Linked DNA regions of Arabidopsis thaliana. The protein of the gene in region 1 interacts with the protein of each later gene in a pairwise test. Each region holds a gene or a part of one and is shown on either strand. Other genes may lie near its edges.

Region 1 (4,309 bases):
TTTATTAATTGGCTGTAATATATGACCGCTGCTCAAAGAATGGGAAAGAGCTATTTGTACATAAACCCAAATAAATATATATCCTCAAGATTGAAGTCAATTATCTATCTATTTGGATAAATTATTATTTTGTGGTTGAATGAATTGCTGATTAGTAGCATATATAGTTGCAACTTGGTCATGATTCTGGTCGTGCTCAAGAGTTGCCTAACTTATTTCTATTTTTCAATAATATCTTAATTTAACAAAAAGATGGAAATATTTCACTTCAGTTCTGTGATTCTGTTATACTTTCATATATTTTCCAAATTTCCAAATCATAAGAATACTATCGAGTTTCTATAATCAGGTCAAATAAGCTTGAAACAAATAATAACATAGGTTGAAATAGTTACAATGTAAACAGCAAATGGCTTAAAGTCTTAAACCAACAATTAAAGACTCATGAAGAACCACCAAAGCCAAACTATGACAAGAGAAATATCAGTTCATTTGAAATCTTAAAAGGTATAGAAGTGTTGATTAAGGATAACGGACTATCGATGATATCCTCTTCGTATATTTTTTTTAAAAAAACAGCAGAAAATCTTTATCATATATACACTTTTCATTCCGTTACTTAAACGTTAGTAAATAACCAATATCATAACTCATAAGTTCATTAATCATAGGGTATATAAAGCTGTAAATCATATTATGTTGACTTTTTCGTAATATATGCAATTTTTAATAACTAAAATGTTTGAAATCGAAAGATGTCTTTGGAAAACACAAAGTGGTATATATATATAGATATAGATTTGGTTAAAAATGTATGTAATTCTTTAAAAATGACAATGTTTAGAGTTTACTGGATTGTAGAACCTATGGATTTTGTTTAATGGCAAAAACAAAAATGGAAGTAAAGATGTCCATCGACAGATCAAAAACTCATATATATTGTCAAGATGAAATGATATAACGTTCTATAAAAACATTAAGTGAATCCCTGATAATCGGAAGAACGATAAAACAACTTGAAGAGACTGAGTTATCAATGTCCCACAAGTGGTACCAAAATAGTTTATGCATACCAAAACTATTTAATTAATCGAATGTAATTGACCAAAATAGATATCAGACTCAAAAGAATACCAAAACTTCAGTGATAACCAAAAGCAGATAAAAAACGTATATAGTTTATGCATTTGCCAATAGATGAGAGGCATATCCATTGGCACTAAGATCAAAGCCAACATATATATAAAGATAAAAGGAAAAAAGAGAGGAAAAATAACTGAAAATATGAATATCCAAAATATTGTGGAAGCGCCTAGACAAAAGTAGAGCATAACAAGGGAGTATGGGTCCAAAAGTATCACAAAAGATTGCATCCTAAAACAATGTACAAAATCCAACAACGGACCGTTAATGGCACTTTAGGTTTTGTCGGTACCAAAAACAGTAATCTTCTTTTTGTTGACAAAATTAAAAACCTAAAAATCTTCATCTACCTTTCGGTTGATTAACAGTTATATTAACCATAGTTTTGAAAATTGAAACAAGCCAGCCAATTTAGGTTACAATTTTTTGTAAAATGAAATAAAAAGTCAATGGGGGATGGCAAAAAAAGAGGAGGAATAAGCAATTATGGCATGTGAGTAAAACGAAAAAGAGACACAAAACAGACAATCTATTTGTCTTCAACACCGCCACAACCAATCCCCAATGACTTGGTTACTTTTTACACTTTCTTCGCCGTTATCGCATCTCTTTTGACAAGTCAACACTCTTCATACGTCTCACTTTTTTTTTTAATATGAGAAACGCATTTATAGTTTAGTTTCTTTTGTTACACCACCCAAAAAAAAAGTCAAATCTATATATAACGTTCCTCGTTCGTTCTAATAAAAAACTATACAATAATAAATAAATAGCGACAGCTATCCAAAAAGAGTTTTAACAATACTTGTATTTTCCGTGTTTTGACTTTTGTAATTATTCTGAATATTTCCACTATCCCTTTATATTTAAAGACCCAAACTCTTCATCTATCTTCTTGCTAACTTATTCAAACCAATTCACATATCTCCTAAATCTCAACGACTGCACTTTGAAGCTTTTTGTTTAGATTCGTTCGTCGTTTCCATTGATTAAGTCTACTTCTTTTTTTTCATATTTTCGAGCGGGTCAAATGGATCAAGAGATAGAGATTCCTTCCTTCTTCCTTTGTCCAATCTCTCTAGATATCATGAAAGATCCGGTGATAGTTTCCACCGGAATAACCTACGACCGAGAAAGCATCGAGAAGTGGCTCTTTTCCGGTAAGAAAAACTCATGTCCAGTCACCAAACAAGTCATAACCGAAACTGATCTTACCCCAAACCACACTCTTCGCCGTTTGATTCAATCTTGGTGTACCCTCAACGCATCATATGGTATAGAGAGGATCCCAACTCCAAAACCTCCGATCTGTAAATCGGAGATCGAAAAGCTTATCAAAGAGTCGTCATCTTCGCATCTAAACCAAGTCAAATGCCTCAAACGACTTCGTCAAATAGTATCTGAGAATACAACCAACAAACGGTGCTTAGAAGCCGCAGAAGTTCCGGAGTTTTTGGCAAATATCGTAAGCAACTCTGTAGATACGTATAACTCTCCTTCTTCTTCACTTTCTTCTTCGAATCTCAACGACATGTGTCAGTCAAACATGTTGGAGAATCGATTTGATTCTTCAAGAAGCTTGATGGACGAAGCCCTAAGCGTACTCTACCATCTTGACACATCGGAGACAGCCCTCAAGAGTCTTTTAAACAACAAGAAAGGAACAAATCTTGTGAAAACGTTGACGAAGATTATGCAACGTGGGATCTACGAGTCAAGAGCCTATGCGGCTTTGCTTCTCAAGAAGCTCCTGGAAGTTGCGGATCCAATGCAGATCATATTGTTGGAACGAGAACTTTTCGGTGAGGTGATTCAAATCTTGCACGACCAGATCTCTCACAAGGCGACAAGATCAGCAATGCAAATCTTGGTGATCACATGTCCATGGGGAAGGAATAGACACAAGGCAGTGGAAGGTGGAACAATCTCGATGATAATCGAGCTTTTAATGGACGATACTTTCTCATCAGAGAGAAGGAATTCAGAGATGGCGATGGTGGTTCTTGATATGTTATGTCAGTGCGCAGAAGGAAGAGCTGAGTTCTTGAATCACGGTGCCGCTATTGCGGTTGTGTCTAAGAAGATATTGAGGGTCTCACAAATAACTAGTGAAAGGGCAGTTAGGGTTTTGCTTTCGGTTGGGAGGTTCTGCGCGACACCCTCTTTGTTGCAGGAGATGTTGCAATTGGGAGTTGTAGCAAAGCTGTGTCTGGTACTTCAAGTTAGCTGTGGTAACAAGACTAAAGAAAAGGCTAAAGAATTGCTTAAGCTTCACGCTAGGGTTTGGAGGGAATCACCTTGTGTCCCAAGAAATTTGTATGATTCGTATCCTGCTTGAACAACGTACATGTTTGAATAATTCTCATCAGATACAAACAATTCTTTGAGAATTATTCTTCGTATAAGTTCATTTTAAAACAAAAAAGAGTGGTTTAAATTTTGCTCAAACTCTGATTTTCTTTCATTTGTTTTTGTTTTATTATCTTTCAATGTTTATCATTATGTGTAGATAATAGTGGACATATTTTCATGAAATTATGAAAAAACTGCAAAGAAATAAATGGATTCACAGGTTACATGGCTATTTTATCCCACTTGCTTTGTTCGTAATTGTTAGAGGCTCCTTATTTATATTCTTTTTGTCCATTACTCACAATAATAATGGAGAACATCTCTTTCAACTTCTCGTTTTTATTGAGTGGATAACCTAAAGGTTACATCATAGTTCTGCTAAAACCATTACTTTTTACAAATACTTTTAGAGATTTGTATGCGTCATGTGTAACGTTTCTGACCATTTAATTGATGCCAGAATTGTAACATTGCGAATGTAATTATGTATATATATATATATTATGTCGGTACGTTCTACAACTCTAATCCCACTATTGATTTATATATTCCAGTATACATCGACGATATCCACGACGGGCATTCTTTCATTCGAGGATGAGTTTCTGTTTTAAGAAATTCTTAATTAAGATTTGTTTTCTTAATTATTATGTAAACATACCAAAAGTCCTTCATATATATGTGATTTTGTATTCACTTATTGTGATTTTTTAGATCACTCAGTTTAAAATGATTTAGACTAAACGTGGTAAAAACTGTTTACGAAAACTCTTTGCATGCGTTTTAACGATCAATAGACATTTCATTATCGGTA
Region 2 (5,934 bases), on another chromosome or scaffold:
TATAAAATCTCCTATAAACCATCCATTGTTCTTTTGGGTAATAATTGATTATTATAATATTTATGGTGTAGATCAAATTTATTTATTTTCCTAAGATATTGTATATATCAGTGATCAGTCGAAAGATTCAAAACTGAAAAGTGTATTCTATCAATTATATAAAAAAAAATTACTTACTGAGTAATCGTAGAATTTAAGGTATTTTATCCAACGATCGAAAGGATAATTAAGCAAATGAAGAACTTAACTACGGATCGGAATGTTTTCTAAAAACAACAAATAATAAGAAAGAAAAAACAATTGTATAAAAGACAGGTCCACATGAGTGCATGTGAAGCAACAGTTTGTGTTTAGTACTGTAATAAGAAGGATGGAAACATGAAATCAGTAAGAGGAGTGGGTAATTGTTGGAGTATTACAATAATTGTTTTGATGAATATTATGCGTGTGCATTTCTCTGCCATTTTCCCACAAATCATTTAGCATTTAGCTTATCTTATCCTTTATCAAATTGATCAGTTAGTTTACCTCGACCCGTTCTTGATACATACATATCTGTTTGAGTTTTTAAACATCTTGGTGTTGAATTTGTCACGGTTATTATTTATCAAGTTTGGATTCTTTTTAGTGATATCAAATTACTATGCTATGCTAATTGGGCAGTCTGAAAAAAAAATAAAAATTATATTCTCTCGTTTGACGTACGTTTTTTTTATTCCGTCTCCATTTTACTTTACCTTAAAGGCATTGGCACTGACTTTGGGTGTATACGTCTACACATGCTTTTAGTCTTTTAGACATCAGGTAGAAAGTTTACGAAATTAGAATTTTATATCTGAAGAACGTTTAAGAAAGTAGCATTTTAATTAGGGACAATTTGCTGATACATTCAAGAAGTGATACAATTAACCACTTTATTTAATTTTTATTTGTTATATTATCAACAATATTATACTATACCTATATTACACTGCCATAAATCTGTAACATGGGAAGATTCTTATCTAATCAATCATGCAAACGAAAGAACAGTAACAAGCCTGCACTCTCTGCAGTGGCATACATTATAGTATTCACACTTTTGTTACGCATCAAGGTAAGTATGATTGAACTAAAGAAATATGTTTTCACGTATAATGGCCATGAGTGGGCTCGATCTTAATTTTTTTTAACCAACCAAATAGAAAGAAGCTTTTCGAAATTCAAAAGGGGTAAGAAGAAACGTGAAGATCGATCGTGGGAATATCTTCATTATTGCTGATTTTAATTAATAATGAAATTTATTTGGACCTATCTGATATTTAAATATGCTGCAGAGCATAGGGTAATAGGATCATCTGTTCTTCTTCATCACATGTGCAGGTCACCCATTCTTATATGCTTCGAACGTTCACCTCGGTGGCTATATCCTAAATACGAGATTTACAATATAATCACTGATTCATCATTAATATGTAATGTAATCGAATATTGCTAAGAGCTAATGGTATATTTTTTGTTTTTCTTCCTTAGAAGGCAAGCGTTAAAAGACACAAAAGGAAAAAGGTGGGAAAATAGATAAAGACATTCTACAAAAGCTGAATTAGAATGAAGTTAAGCATAAGCTACCTCTATGCCACACACCAAGTGTATGTATAAAAAATAGTAATTATATTAGTATTAGTTTAAGCTTAAGCTATCTATGGCACATTCACAAATCACTATACAGCAAATCAATAGTTGACTTAATTAATTTTAAAACACCGAACACATTTTTGGATTAGTTGTAATTGTGAAGAAAACACATTCTCTCTTCACATGTTCAATGTCTTAAGAAATTTCTCAAATACTTCCAAGATCTTGTTTATTTCTTTTTTTCTTAGAACATGTAACCCTACATACTCTTTGATCACTACATCCATATAAAACCAAGATTCATTTTTATATATCTCTGTGTTTATATGTCACATATATATAACATAATAAACACAGAACAAGCATATACTTACAGAGTTTCTTCTTATTCTACTCTCTTCCTCCACCACCTCCTTGCATGTTCACTAGTCTCGTTCTTGGTAATGAACTAAGGAGTCAAGTTTCAGTTGAAGCTGTTGAGACAGAGGAAGAAGTTGAAGATGAAGATGAAGATAATAGTTCTCTTCCTTTACTACTGTTACATTGGTTCTACTTCCTCTGTTTTAGCTTCCATCGACAATGTCAACGAGCTCTCTGTTTTGCTGTCGGTGAAATCAACTCTTGTGGATCCTCTCAACTTTCTCAAAGACTGGAAGCTTTCAGACACCAGCGATCACTGTAATTGGACCGGTGTTCGGTGCAACTCAAATGGCAATGTTGAGAAGCTCGACCTGGCGGGGATGAATCTCACAGGCAAAATCTCAGATTCGATCAGCCAGCTGAGTAGCCTTGTCTCGTTTAACATATCATGCAACGGATTCGAGTCGCTGCTCCCGAAATCAATCCCTCCGTTGAAATCTATTGACATCAGCCAGAATTCATTCTCAGGGAGTCTTTTTCTATTTAGCAATGAATCACTTGGGCTTGTTCACCTCAATGCTTCAGGGAACAATCTCTCCGGAAATCTCACGGAGGATCTCGGGAACTTAGTCTCTTTAGAAGTTCTTGATCTCCGAGGGAATTTCTTTCAAGGGTCACTTCCAAGTTCATTCAAGAATCTACAGAAGCTGAGATTTCTCGGATTATCCGGAAACAATCTCACCGGCGAGTTACCAAGCGTTCTCGGCCAGCTCCCTTCACTTGAAACCGCCATTCTTGGTTACAACGAATTCAAAGGTCCGATTCCACCGGAATTTGGAAACATAAACAGCCTCAAGTACCTTGATTTGGCCATCGGAAAGCTCAGTGGTGAGATTCCGTCAGAGCTTGGGAAGCTCAAGTCACTCGAGACGCTTCTCCTGTACGAGAATAACTTCACCGGAACAATTCCAAGAGAGATAGGAAGCATTACCACGCTAAAGGTTCTTGATTTCTCCGATAATGCGTTAACCGGCGAGATTCCAATGGAGATAACAAAGCTCAAGAACCTCCAGCTACTGAACCTGATGCGCAACAAACTCTCAGGCTCCATTCCTCCCGCCATCAGCAGTCTAGCACAGTTACAAGTCCTCGAGCTCTGGAACAACACGCTCTCCGGCGAGTTACCAAGCGATCTCGGGAAGAATTCTCCATTACAATGGCTTGACGTTTCTTCAAACTCCTTCTCAGGCGAGATTCCTTCAACTCTATGCAACAAGGGAAATCTAACCAAGCTCATTCTCTTCAACAACACCTTCACCGGTCAGATTCCAGCGACTCTTTCCACTTGCCAATCACTAGTTCGTGTTAGAATGCAGAACAATCTACTAAACGGATCAATTCCTATCGGCTTTGGCAAGCTTGAGAAGCTACAGAGACTCGAACTAGCCGGAAATCGTCTCAGCGGAGGGATCCCTGGAGACATCTCCGATTCAGTTTCACTTTCTTTCATTGATTTCTCAAGAAACCAGATCCGATCATCTCTCCCTTCCACAATCCTCTCAATTCACAACCTACAGGCGTTTTTAGTCGCCGATAACTTTATCTCCGGCGAAGTTCCAGACCAATTCCAGGATTGTCCTTCACTCTCTAATCTCGATCTCTCATCAAACACTCTCACTGGCACTATCCCTTCAAGCATTGCTTCATGCGAGAAGCTCGTAAGCCTCAACCTAAGAAATAATAACCTCACCGGCGAAATCCCTAGACAGATCACGACAATGTCTGCATTAGCAGTGCTAGATCTCTCCAACAATTCCTTAACCGGAGTACTACCAGAGAGCATCGGAACATCTCCAGCTCTGGAACTCCTAAACGTCTCATACAACAAGCTCACAGGTCCAGTCCCTATCAACGGCTTTCTCAAAACCATAAATCCAGATGATCTAAGAGGAAACTCCGGTCTCTGCGGCGGCGTTCTACCACCGTGTAGTAAATTCCAAAGAGCAACATCGAGTCACAGTAGCCTCCACGGGAAACGAATTGTCGCCGGATGGTTGATTGGGATAGCATCGGTTCTAGCTCTAGGGATTCTCACCATTGTTACGAGAACTCTGTACAAGAAATGGTATTCTAACGGATTCTGCGGCGACGAGACGGCGAGCAAAGGTGAATGGCCTTGGAGATTAATGGCGTTTCATAGATTAGGGTTTACAGCTTCCGATATCTTGGCATGTATCAAAGAATCAAACATGATCGGAATGGGAGCAACCGGAATCGTGTACAAAGCAGAAATGTCACGATCAAGCACAGTTCTCGCCGTGAAGAAGCTCTGGAGATCTGCCGCGGATATTGAAGATGGAACCACCGGAGATTTCGTAGGCGAAGTTAACCTCCTCGGGAAATTGAGACACAGAAACATAGTGAGGCTCCTAGGGTTCTTATACAACGACAAAAACATGATGATCGTATATGAATTCATGCTCAACGGAAACCTTGGTGATGCGATTCACGGCAAAAACGCCGCCGGGAGACTTCTCGTTGATTGGGTTTCGCGTTACAACATCGCGTTAGGTGTAGCTCACGGCCTCGCTTACCTCCACCATGATTGTCATCCTCCGGTGATTCACAGAGACATCAAATCCAACAATATCTTGCTCGACGCGAATCTCGACGCCAGAATCGCCGATTTTGGCCTCGCCAGGATGATGGCGAGGAAGAAAGAAACCGTTTCAATGGTCGCCGGTTCTTACGGTTACATTGCTCCCGGTAAGGTTTAAATACCATACCGATTACTAAATTGATTACAATCCGGTTTAGTCTAACAACATATGGTTGATCATTTGCAGAGTATGGATACACTTTGAAGGTGGATGAGAAGATAGACATATACAGCTACGGCGTCGTACTATTGGAGCTGTTAACCGGAAGAAGACCATTGGAACCGGAGTTTGGAGAATCAGTAGACATTGTGGAGTGGGTGAGAAGGAAGATAAGAGACAACATATCACTAGAAGAAGCATTAGATCCTAACGTAGGAAACTGCAGATATGTGCAAGAAGAGATGCTTTTAGTTCTACAGATTGCTCTTCTCTGCACTACAAAGCTCCCGAAAGACAGACCTTCGATGAGAGATGTGATATCGATGCTCGGAGAGGCTAAACCGAGGAGGAAAAGTAATAGTAATGAAGAGAACACTAGTCGTAGCTTGGCCGAGAAACATTCATCGGTTTTTAGTACTTCACCTGTAAATGGCCTTCTTTAGTATGAGATTTAAGAATCAAAAGAGGCCGATAAACTGATTCGTTCGATTCGTGTTCTGTATGTAGAAGAAAGAGAGAAAGAGAGAGAGATATGTATCTTTTGATTTAATTTTTCCATGTAGAATAAGTTTCCTTTGTTTTACATGATCATATTAACTTTGTGCATTGCTCTGAACCGTTTTGTTTTTGTGCAAGAAAGGGTTTTCTTATAGATTTTTAAAGTGTGATTTACAAAGAGAACATATAACTAACTAAAAGAAAAATGGCAGAGCCAAAAAAGAAACTGTAAAGGGGAGAGAAGAAGAAGAAGCTTCTTACAATGTTTTTGTCTTCTCTTTGATCTGTGATCTGTCTTATTACTGCTTCAAACATAAAGGGTTCTTCGTAGATTATTATTTGCTTCATAATATCATCTGAGCTGTAAACAAGGATCACACAAACACGGTCACAACGACAAAACAATGATTTTAATACAGATATCAGGATTTGATCGAATCAGTAAATGTACCTTTACCAGTAGCCTCCGATGTTTTCATTATCCGGAGCCTTCTCACTGAACCAATAAACATCCTAGACACAAGTAAAACTCAGGTTCAAACTTCAGAATTTGACGCTTACACGGGACAAAGCATCAAAAGCATAAGAACATATGTATGCATACCCCCACGGAACATCGCCAACAAGCATCCAATCTCCTTCC
Region 3 (5,705 bases), on another chromosome or scaffold:
AGTTTCATTATCTGGAATGTTGGAGAGTTTTACAGAAGGATTCTGCCTAAATATGTAGACTTGGGCACAAACCTCTCACGGTTTTTCTCCAACCTTCGTTCTCATGGGTTCAAAATAGTTAAAGGAAGAACTGGAGTATTGGAATTTGGACATGAAGATTTTATCAGAGATAAACTGGAGCTTATGAAGAAGATGGTTAGCGATAAACGTAAAGCAAGGAAAGCTGCTAAATCCAAAGCAAGGAAAGCTAGAGTTCAAGTCGAGTTTCTCTTCCAACACTTGCAAATTTGATCGTCCATTAAATCAGTCTTCTTTATTATGTATATTCGTCTCCAAGTAGATTCAAGTCTAAGAACTTTTCAATAGTATGTTTCTCTCTTTATAGGAACCCTCTTTATATGCCTAGTCTTTGATTCTTCTCTTATGATGGTGGCTTCTCTTCTTTATTGTCTTATATTATGATTCATAACAACATCACATAGAAACTTCCTAAAACCTCTTAACAGAAAATTGAAAACTTTTGAAACATCTTTTATGGAATATCCATCCACTGCATTACACTAGAGATTAACTTTTAAAACTACTACTATGGATTCAAAATCTGGAAAAGGGAACAAAGTGGTGTTAAAAACGGATCCTTTTTAAACCCTAAGAGATAAGTTTCTCTGCCTACTCTGCCAAAGTTATGTTATATAGCCAGATGGATACCGTCTTTACTTCTTGTGAATACTGTTGCAAATCCATTGCGATTCTTCTCAGAACTCCCTCGGTTTGTTGAAACTGGCATTGAAACAGCAGCAGACGCAGTAGAAGAAGAAGAAGATGGAGATGTTTCTTTGGTTGGTTTGATGGACTCAGGATGATTTCTTGTCATGAAAGTTTCGTTTTTGTGAACCTTCCAACTCTCTGAGTTGCTGCTGCTGCTTACACCATTTGCAGCCATTGGAATTATCGGTGTATCGGTTAAGAAATCTTCAAGTGTTGCAAGGGACTGCAACTGTTTCCCCAATGAAGCTATTGTTTTCTGACAATTCGCAAGTTTCCCTGCAGCTGTTTCTATGTCTTCCTGAATTATAGTAATCAAGTTTTAGTGGACAAAAAAGTGATTGTGATGGAACACAGTCTAAGTTTAACTAACACCTGAACTTTGGAGACAGACCTGTTTGATCTTGGGTTCTTTATTTTCACTCTTGATTGAGTTCTCTTTATGGAGAGAGATCTCTTCTTCAAGAGCCTCACATTTTCTCCTAAGCTCATCAAAAGCAAACCTCTCCTTTCTCATGTCTTCTTCCAAAGATTCAATCTTTGCGGATTTAGTCTTTGCATCTGCTTCCATTGCGATGGTTTGAGACTCTACTTCAGCTTTTAGTTCGTTAACGAGTTTCATCTCCGTTTGTATCTCCCCCAGCTTCGTCTCGATTTCTTGCAGACAAACTTGAGATTCTTCATATTTATCTTTGATTATGTCAAAAGATATTTGCAGCTCAGCTTTCTCAACTTCCAACTTCTCCAACTTATTTTCCAGCTCCATTTTTTCACAAGCAATAGCTTCGAGCTCAAATCTCAATGTGCTCTCCACTTCCCTGTTACATTTAACTTCACTTTTGAGCTCATCTTTCTCTACTTCCAACTTCTCTAACTTCTCCTCAAGTTGCTTGATTCGGCAAGTCAATACTTCTATTTCAGTAGCCAACGAGTTCTCTACTTGAGCAACAGCCTCTTCTCTGTTACATTTTACTTCACTTTCGAGTTCAACTTTCTCCGCTTCTAACTTCTCCAACTGTTCTTCAAGTTCCTTAGTTCGAGAAGTCAGTACTTCTATTTCAGCAGCCAATGAGTTCTCTACGTGAACAACAGCCTTTTCTCTGTTACATTTAACTTCACTTTTGAGCTCCTCTTTCTCTGCTTCTAACTTTTCCAACTTTTCTTCAAGTTCCTTAGTTCGAGAAGTCAGTACTTCTGAGTTCTCTATATGAACAACAGCCTCTTCTCTGTTACATTTAACTTCATTCTCGAGCTCATGTTTCTCGGCTTCTAACTTTTCCAACTTCTCTTCAAGTTCCTTAATGCGAGAAGTCAGTACTTCTATTTCAGAAGCTAACGAGTTCTCTGAGGGAACAACAACCTCTTCTGTAACTGATTCAGGTCCACTCTTACCGTTCCCATCTGGCGTCTCAGGCAATGCTACAAGACGTTCCATCTCAAGAAAATCACCCATGAGATCAAGTTCAATGGAAGAGGAAGTTCCCTGAAGGCTTCTCTTCTCAATCAATGTGGATGATGCCCATGAATCAGAGCAACTCACATCCATTCGTTCCCCTCCATCAGAATGACTATCTGTAGATCGATGATCGTTAAACGAAGCTGATGACTTAGCCAACATCCGAAACTTCCTGCACTCAGCCTCAAGTTTCGCCACTTTCTTTATGCTATCTAACTGCTGCTTGCTGGCGGTTTCAGCTGCTTGGGTACTCAAATCCCTCTCAATAGTTCTGATCTCTAGCTCTTCGCATCGCGCAAGAAGCTCGTGTCTAAGCATCACGTTTTCTTTCGCCACAGATTCCGCCATTTGGCTAAGCTCCTCAGACTTGGTTGCAGTTTCAAAAATCTGGTTCTCAAGGCTGGTTCTAGAAGACTGCAACTCCTGAGTTCTCTCGATCACAGCATCTTGAATTCTCTGTTCTTGTTCATCTCTTGCTTGCCTTAACTGTCTCACACACTCCTTTAAAGCTCCATCAAGATGGCTTACTCTATCTTCCAACACTCTATTCTTATCATCAGCAGCCTCAAGCTTCTCCTTTAACTCAACCACTTCATTTTCAGCTTTCTCCCACCCTTCACAACAAGAGTAGATATATCTTCACTAAAAAGTCGCAGAATCATAAAACAAAAATGTAGAAAAAAAGATTGATACCAGCGACAGCTTCTTCAGCGACTTTGACATGTTGCTTCACTAGATCATCTTTAGCACTCACATTAGCAAGAGCAGCTGAAAGTTTCTCGGCTAAAGTCTTCATGCTATCTTTCAACTCTTCCTTTTCAGTTTCTACTTCCAAAGAAACCGTTGGTGATTGTATCTCGTCATCACGAGACTCCATTGTACTCTCAGGCTTGAGCAAAAATAAAAACAGACATTACAATGATCTTTTAGATGCAAAGGACACAAGACTAAAATAACAAAAACAAAATTCTTGATCTTACTTGAATTTCAGAATCCTTCTCAGATAGTGAAGACACAGACTCTGATTCACCAAAGCTTCTCTCAGATGATTCTCTCTTCCTTTTCTCCATTTATAGTTTCCAAGATCACAATCAGCACATAACAGTCTCAGGATCTGAATGAGAGAGAAAACACACACACACACACACATACATTGGATTCTTTAAAAATGCTGAAACATACATAAACATAGTCAAAGAAGAAACAAACTTTAAGATGAAGTAAACTGAACCAATCAGCAAACATGCAAGATAAGAGAAAATCTTGAATAAACCAATCATTTAACACAAAGTATTAGAAATGATTTAAAGGAACTGAATTTGTCTTTATAGTAACAAATGTGGTTCCAGATGTCCGTTTCATAATCAAAAACCAACGGTTGAGAAAGCTACAAGACAAAGAACAAAAGCTTGAAACTTTAAATTTGAAACTCGTTGAGGCATAAGGGAAAATCTACCAAAACCCCAAATCCAAGAGAAGGAAATAAAAGCTACGAGGGTAATGGAACAGTGATAAGTAAGTCTCAAACTACACTCCAAACATTGGTCTATTTCAGAGAACACTTAAGTAGATAAATTAAAAAAAAACGAACAAAGGAAGAGAATATTGTGAAAGAGACCAAATGTTTGGTGAAGTAAATACCTTTTGGTTGGGGACTGTATGAAGAACTTTGAGATCCCAAAATGCCCCAATGGAAACAAAAAAAAATCAGCGATTAAACAAGCAAAAAGGAAGAAGCTTTCTTCTTCTTCTACTACTGTCTGAAACACTATTACGATTTATTAACAGCGACAAGGCAGAGATATAGCGTGAGAGAGAGAGAGAGAGAGAGAAGAGAGAATTCTCTTTATCTTGTTTTTTGCTATTTTTGAAATATTTCTCTAATTTTTCTTCTTTAATTCAAAAGATAGAAAGAGAGATAGAGCATGTGATCTTCTGTATGTGGAGCTGTGAACTCAAAAAACATTTAAATCTTAACTTTTTCAGCTTTTTTTAAGGAATTATTATTTTTGTGTATATAAATGTAAGGAATTAAAAGTTAAAACGTAATTTCGTACTAATTAATTTGAATTATTGACATTTAAAGTGCTTATAACAATTCCCGCCCGAGAATACATTATTGACAATAATTTAGGATAATTAAATTACGAATTTAGAAAGCAGCTTTTGAATTTAAGGAAGTTGTAACGGTTTTAATAATAATAATGTGATTAAAGAAGAGCTCACGCGTCTCGCTGACTCTGGTCATTGGGTTCACTGACAAAATCAGTGAGATTCACAATTTATCCGACGGTTTAGATTGCTCCCATCTCTCACTCTGCTTTCTACTTTTTTTTTTTTTTTTTTCTGTTAAGTACAATATAATTAATTTATACACTAATCTCCAATTTATCTTTTCTTAATTGTTGGTAGTTGGTAAGATTAACTTTATTTTCACTCCAGATTACAATTGATAGTCTCTTTCCTTTTGTCGTTTATCTCGAGTCCCAAAAACAAATAAACTAAAAACTATATGCATAGGCTTAATGACGTGGTTTGATAAAGGCCCATTAAGTTGTATAGACATGGTCTCAAAGCCTAAAAAGATTGTTGAGAGTAAGAGACCCATTACTCTGTTTTTTCTGTCTCGTCCTAGTTCCCACACAAATTACACGAAAAGACAGAAACATCAATGAGAAAAGAGATAACTATTCTTAGAATTAAGTTTTTGTGCATCTGTTAAGTCTTTCGAATGCATCGAGACGTAAAAAAAAAAAAAGTAAAGGAAGAAGAAAAATTTAGGCATATAACTTGGTGAGATCTTCAGAGAATTCCCTCCTAATTACATCTCTTTTCAGCTTTAGAGCTGCTGTGACTAATCCTGACTCTGGCGTCCATGGAGATGCCAATAATTTGATCTTTGCTGGTATCTCAAACTTCTCCAATCGTGATTGTTTAGCCGCCTGCATAACACAGATGTTATAAGGAAATGACTGGGGGACTCAAATAGCTTGGTAATGAGTAGCAATGAACATACCTTCACAAGGGACGCATACACTTCTTTCACGGCTTGCTCTTTCGTGCACAGTTCTTCGAAGTTGGCAAAGTCTATTCCTTGCTTTGAAGCCCAACCTTCAACTGTATGTTGGGACGCGACCACAAGAGCCACACAGTAACTGTAGAACGAATCAGCATGAACCATTATGTTTTCAACATAGGGACTTATACTTAGAGCAGCTTCAACCTGCGAAAAAAAAGAATGTTTTAAGAAGCTTCTCCGGAGAATTGAGTGATGAAGACAAAAAAGGGTATTCGGATTGAGAAAACTATACTTTGCCCAAGGAGACATATTCTCCATGCTGAAGTTTAACGATATCCTTTTTTCGGTCTATTATCTCGAGGCAGCCATCAGGGTGAAATCGTCCTATGTCTCCTGTGTAGAACCACCTCATTCCCTTTTCATCAACCTTTGAACATTCAAGTGTATAAAACGGTTAGAGGAAGA
Region 4 (5,777 bases), on another chromosome or scaffold:
ACAATTATTGGCTGTGTACATAAACTAAGAAGAAAGTCATTGGTCGGAATCAAAGTGGAGGAAGAAGCCTGAAGTGTCGTCTCTGTATGATGGAGATCGAAGAATGCTTCTGCACTTTACCCATTTCCCTAAAAAATAAACAAAAAAAAATGTATAATGTATGTATGTAGCGTGATGTGTACATATTACTTATTAATCTATGCAAATTAAGCTCACTCTAATTACTTTTAAGTTTCCTTTTAAGTCTTATGTTCGTCGTATTTGTTTTCGTGCTTCTTTCTTTTTATAATAATTTAATTATATATTTTTGTTATTACTTGCAGCTGTTTGTTGTTTATCATAGAAGCAATGTGGCATATGGTTAACATGAAATTTGAAGAAAAGACAAAATCACTGGCTTTGCCGACATATCTGCAGTGTCTTTGTTTTGTTTGTTAGTACTGCATTGTCTAAATCTAAATCGTGACAATAAAACAGGATAATTATTTTTCATTATGATGTTCTTTGGTAAATATGTCTATAAATATTCTTACTAATTTACAAATATATATATTCATGTAAATTTTATTATTCAAGAGATCTTACGCAGACATGGTTTTCACAGTACCATTAAGATTATATTCAACTGGTTTGTATTATATTTAATTTATAAATAAAAATTGTCAATTGATAATAAATGGAAAGAAAAAATTAAAATGAAAAAAAATCCATATCCATTCAAATAAAATATCTCGCAACATACGTTTCATACGACAAATAGTGTGACAAACTGACAACCACTTGTCAGAATTGGGCTCTCAATATGGGGAAAAAATAGTCAATGTTATTAAAAAGACAAAAATAAATAAATAAAGGAAAATATATCTAAAATCAATAAGAGATTAAAAAATAGAAATAAATCATGTATTTGGCACATAAACAAGTCATATATCGACAAAAGCCTAAGTTTGGTAGATGAATAGTGATTTTAAATGGTACATAAGCAATTCAAATATGTATAGACAAATAAGCCTAATTTTATAACATTTTTTTGTTTTATATTACAAATCTAACATTTTTTTAATTCAAATATCCCACTATCCTTTTTGAATCAACAGAAAAACATCTCATTAAACTAAAAAATCTCAGATTTTGAACATGTTTAGGTAAACAACCATCATCTCGTCGTTTCTTTTTTACCAAACATCAATTTTACTAAGTTATCAGAAAAACATTTTTCTTTTATCAAGAATTATTCAAAAACCGATAAGTTTACATGAAAAAAGAAAGTAATACAGATACGCGCCTTCTTGATTAAACAATCAATCCGAATATTGTTATAACGAATAAAAAAATATATTAAAAGAAAGAAAAGAAATAAAGAAAGATCGAAAGTAGCCATTTGAATATTGATATTTGATTCTTAACAAATTTATCTCATATAGTAAGTATCCGTCTCACTAAATTTGAAAATACATTAGTCGATATATAATTATTAACTAATTATAACGGTATTTAGTAACGGTATTTACCGTGCGCGGGGACTCATCTAATTAAAAAACTAAATTGAAAAAACCTCAAAAAATAGTAGTTACCACTTACCAGCAAACATTCAAAAAAAAGAAAACAGAGTATGACTGATTTTAAAGTTTCTAAGAAGAAAAGAAGGAAAAAAATCACCGACGAGTCTTTGTGTTTCCGGTCACAATTAATGAAAACCATTTCTAGTCTAACTTTTGTTGTAACGCAAGTTTTGAAACTTATTAATTAAAGAAGACTAATAATTATTATAAAACCCCATCATCACTTTACTTCTCCCTCTTACGTCTCTTTCAATTTCCTCTCTGCAGAATCGCTTCTCTCTCTCTCTCGGCTCCGCCGATTCCGAGTTCCCCGATTCTCGGATTCTTCTGAAGATTTCTCATGTCAGGCTCTCTTGATCGATTTGCGAGACCTTGTGAGTAAATTTTAATCATCCCCTTTCTCTCGATTCTCGCTATTTCGAAATCACGCAATTCTGGTTTGTTAGATTGAGTTTGAGAACTAGACGTAGACGATGCTCTGAGTTTTAGATTTTAGGGATTTGTTGTTGTTGTTGTTGATGTTGATTGAGATTTTGTTTGGTTTAAGGTTTTGAAGGAGTTTCAAGCAATGATGAGAGAAGAGAAAGGAGATCAGATTTCGAAGTTTCAGAGGATGAGAAGAAGACAAGAATCGGGAATTTCAATTTCAAGAAGAAAGCTGCGAAAGCTTCGAGCAAACTCAGACATTCGTTGAAGAAGAAAGGTAGCAGTAGGAGAAGAAGCAGTGATCGTACTTTCTCTCTTACCATTGAAGATATTCATGATGTTGAGGAATTGCGAGCTGTTGATGAATTCCGTAATTTACTCGTCTCTGAGAATTTGCTTCCTCCTACACTTGATGATTATCACATCATGCTGAGGTGAGACTTTATTTCTGTCGATTCATTTTTCATGATGATGATGATGGTGATGATGATGATTTTGATGTTCTATGTTCTCTGTTAGATTCTTGAAAGCTAGGAAATTTGATATTGGGAAAACCAAGTTAATGTGGAGTAATATGATCAAATGGAGAAAAGATTTTGGTACTGACACCATTTTCGAGGTGAATTACATGTTTTTAAAAAAAATCTTAATATGTTACTTTTAATCTCATGTGATGGTTTTAATCTCAATATGTGTGTTAATAGGATTTTGAATTTGAAGAGTTTGATGAAGTTCTGAAATACTACCCTCATGGTTATCATGGTGTTGATAAAGAAGGAAGGCCTGTTTACATTGAAAGATTAGGACTAGTTGATCCGGCCAAGCTCATGCAAGTCACTACAGTGGAAAGATTCATAAGGTATCATGTTCGAGAGTTTGAGAAAACTGTCAACATAAAGCTTCCAGCTTGCTGCATTGCTGCTAAGAGACATATTGACTCTAGCACAACAATTCTAGATGTCCAAGGCGTGGTACTTATAAAACCAGATTCTGTTAGTTTTTCCTAGTGTAGTGTTTATTGTCCTGCATCTTATTACTTATAATTGCTTAACTTATGTTTTGCAGGGGTTCAAGAATTTCTCTAAGCCTGCGAGGGATCTCATAATCCAGCTGCAAAAGATTGATAACGATAACTACCCTGAGGTATGAGCTGGTTGCTATTGATTTTGTTACAAATTGTGTGTTAATTAAATAAGTTTGATAAAAGATAATGTGAGGTAATATTTCACCTATATGCAGACACTTCATCGTATGTTCATCATCAATGGTGGTTCTGGTTTTAAGCTAGTCTGGGCCACAGTGAAACAGTTTCTTGATCCAAAAACAGTCACGAAGATTCATGTAAATTTACCCTTTTATGCATATCCATCCACATTTCCTCAAGTTATCCTAAAGATTATCTTTAATCGTATTAACTATTGTCGATGTGTTGTTGTTATAGGTCATTGGTAACAAGTACCAAAACAAACTACTTGAGATCATTGATGCAAGGTTGAGACATCTCAATCCTCTTGTTTGGTTCACATGAGTCCAAAATATGATATAGCTTGTTTGGTTCACATGAGTCCAAAATATGATATAGCTTCCTAACCATTTTTGGAACTTTTTCAGCCAGCTGCCAGATTTTCTTGGTGGCACTTGCACCTGTGCAGATCGAGGTGGTTGTATGAGATCTGATAAAGGCCCCTGGAATGACCCTGAGATATTAAAGGTAAAAATCGATCTTCCGCAGCCTATTTTGGTTAAAAAGATTAACACCAGACAGAATAGTGTTACTTAACTGATCTTCCCCACCTTGTAGATGCTTCAAAGTGGTGGACCGCTCTGCAGGCATAATTCGGCTCTAAACAGTTTTTCCCGTGTGTCTTCATGCGATAAGCCATCTTTTTCTGGGGTAAAGGTCTTCTATACTTAAGATACGAAACTTGTTTTCAAAATTTGTGTCTTACCGTAACAACAATGTCCTCATTGGCTCAGATAAAAGCTAGTGACACCTCGACAGCAGAATCAGGGTCTGAAGTGGAAGAGATGGCTTCTCCAAAAGTAAATAGAGAGCTTCGTGTTCCCAAGCTGACTCCTGTTTGTGAAGATGTAAGAATTTTTTTTGTACGGAAGTGAAAATCACAGTATGCATTTCAGACTACTTACTACCTGATGTTACTTTCAGATTAGGGGCACTGCTATATCATATCCTACTGACTCATCAGAGTATGATTCACCAATGGTGGACAAAGTCGTGGATGTTGCTTGGATGGCCCATGAAAAGCCAAAGGCTTCAAAAGGTAAAAGAGAGGAATCTAAATATTATGATATGTAAATCAGAAATCAGATCAACGCAAAGTTTAACTGTAATGGAATATGTTTGTGCAGGTTCAGAGGATACACCCGATTCGGGCAAAATAAGAACGGTTACTTATATCTGGAGGTGGCTAATGATGTTCTTTGTAAACTTGTTTACGCTTCTCATATCTTTGGCTCTGCCACAGAGAGAAGGACACTCCCAGTCTGAATCTTCAGTTGATGGACCAAACGCTAGAGAGTCTCGTCCTCCTTCACCGGCTTTTGCAACTATCGCAGAGAGAAATGTGTTTTCTTCTGTTGTAAACAGACTAGGAGATCTTGAGAAACAGGTAGAAACACTGCACTCGAAGCGTCATGAGATGCCGCGTGAGAAAGAGGAGTTGCTTAATACAGCTGTTTATCGCGTGGATGCACTTGAAGCAGAGCTCATCGCTACAAAAAAGGTCTAAAGGAAACCTCTCAATTCCATGTTAAATGACTTTTATTAATTAATATGAAAAGCAACTGTCTTTGTGTGTGTATATTAACGCCAACACTCTCCAATGATTCAGGCTTTACATGAGGCTTTAATGAGACAAGATGATCTTTTGGCTTACATAGACCGTGAAGAAGACGAGAAGTATCACAAGGTAAATCATTTAATTTCTTTCACCCACCCAATCACCCGTAATTTTGTGATTGTTTTTTTGATATATGAAGAGAATACACTTACGTGGTTTTTGTTGGGAAAACAGAAAAAGAAGGTGTGCTGGTGAAGACTGAAGAGAGAGAGAGCTTCGAGTTATACGAGTTACAAGAAGTGGTGTTGTACTCTGCTTTATGAGTAGGTTCGTAAACACCAACCCTATAGAGAGAACAATGTTTATATCCAAAATTAGGTCTCATAAGCAAAGATTTGATACTTTTGGGGGAAATTTTAGAAGAATGTTTTTTCAGTTAATATTCAAAGTACATTTTTATTTATATCAGTGACACCATTTTCTCCCACTTCCGTCTCTGCTTTGCCTCCTATCGCAGTTATCATACAGTATTTGTTTGGTCTATGCTTATATGAATGAGTCATGATGAAAAATGTGTCTATTTATAATTTAAGCTTGATTCAAGGCTAACTCCATAAAAGATGTGGTAAACAACATAGGTAGTCGGTTAGTCGACTTTTTGATATCAAAATTTGAATGTCTTTGAAACTACTAAAATAATGGCTGACTGAGTTAGCAAATTTGATATCAATGATAAAAAAAATTCCCCAAATTCACATAAAAATTACTATTTCCGTATTTCATTTCATTGTGGTGCCAAAGAAAATCGAAACCATCGAAAATGAAAATCAAGCCAGCTAATTTTAAAATAATCACCAGCATCACCTAAAGTAGAATAATACTACCAAACTTTAGTCATTTGTGAGTTTTTACTTTTTTTGTTACCTCTTCTCTACTTCCAAGTCAGCTATCAAGACTAGCACGAGCCATAGCCACCAATGAGGCCAGG

The links.
Region 2: the proteins of PUB22 (region 1) and AT4G28650 interact in a two-hybrid assay, tested with the Arabidopsis thaliana proteins (one study listed by BioGRID).
Region 3: the proteins of PUB22 (region 1) and AT1G77580 interact in a two-hybrid assay, tested with the Arabidopsis thaliana proteins (one study listed by BioGRID).
Region 4: the proteins of PUB22 (region 1) and AT1G75370 interact in a two-hybrid assay, tested with the Arabidopsis thaliana proteins (one study listed by BioGRID).

What each region holds. Positions count from the first base shown.
Region 1 is NC_003074.8:19,440,115-19,444,423, reverse strand, and holds PUB22 (plant U-box 22), read left to right. Parts: upstream 1-1,996; 5' UTR 1,997-2,173; coding exon 2,174-3,481; 3' UTR 3,482-3,807; downstream 3,808-4,309. UniProt on the Arabidopsis thaliana protein: E3 ubiquitin-protein ligase that negatively regulates water stress response. May control in coordination with PUB23 a drought signaling pathway by ubiquitinating cytosolic RPN12a.
Region 2 is NC_003075.7:14,143,457-14,149,390, reverse strand, and holds AT4G28650 (Leucine-rich repeat transmembrane protein kinase family protein), read left to right. Parts: upstream 1-1,853; 5' UTR 1,854-2,114; coding exon 2,115-4,740; intron 4,741-4,820; coding exon 4,821-5,236; 3' UTR 5,237-5,433; downstream 5,434-5,934. Other genes in the region: IAA11 (indole-3-acetic acid inducible 11), read right to left, coding at 5,463-5,647, 5,743-5,804, 5,896-5,934. UniProt on the Arabidopsis thaliana protein: Involved in the regulation of procambium maintenance and polarity during vascular-tissue development. Involved in the pollen tube perception of the female signal. Phosphorylates MDSI1.
Region 3 is NC_003070.9:29,143,503-29,149,207, forward strand, and holds AT1G77580 (filament-like protein (DUF869)), read right to left. Parts: upstream 4,145-5,705; 5' UTR 3,863-4,144; exon of another isoform or gene 3,336-3,862; 5' UTR 3,292-3,335; coding exon 3,202-3,291; exon of another isoform or gene 3,111-3,201; coding exon 2,915-3,110; intron 2,836-2,914; coding exon 1,160-2,835; coding exon of another isoform or gene 1,130-1,159; exon of another isoform or gene 1,067-1,129; coding exon 689-1,066; 3' UTR 525-688; downstream 1-524. Other genes in the region: AT1G77570 (Winged helix-turn-helix transcription repressor DNA-binding protein), read left to right, coding at 1-291; LACS9 (long chain acyl-CoA synthetase 9), read right to left, coding at 4,999-5,163, 5,238-5,444, 5,533-5,667.
Region 4 is NC_003070.9:28,275,924-28,281,700, reverse strand, and holds AT1G75370 (Sec14p-like phosphatidylinositol transfer family protein), read left to right. Parts: upstream 1-1,902; coding exon 1,903-1,936; intron 1,937-2,109; coding exon 2,110-2,422; intron 2,423-2,507; coding exon 2,508-2,607; intron 2,608-2,692; coding exon 2,693-2,959; intron 2,960-3,053; coding exon 3,054-3,131; intron 3,132-3,227; coding exon 3,228-3,329; intron 3,330-3,429; coding exon 3,430-3,479; intron 3,480-3,599; coding exon 3,600-3,699; intron 3,700-3,789; coding exon 3,790-3,882; intron 3,883-3,965; coding exon 3,966-4,079; intron 4,080-4,155; coding exon 4,156-4,270; intron 4,271-4,358; coding exon 4,359-4,732; intron 4,733-4,840; coding exon 4,841-4,918; intron 4,919-4,988; coding exon 4,989-5,032; coding exon of another isoform or gene 5,033-5,044; exon of another isoform or gene 5,045-5,116; coding exon 5,117-5,261; downstream 5,262-5,777. Other genes in the region: AT1G75360 (uncharacterized protein), read right to left, coding at 5,745-5,777.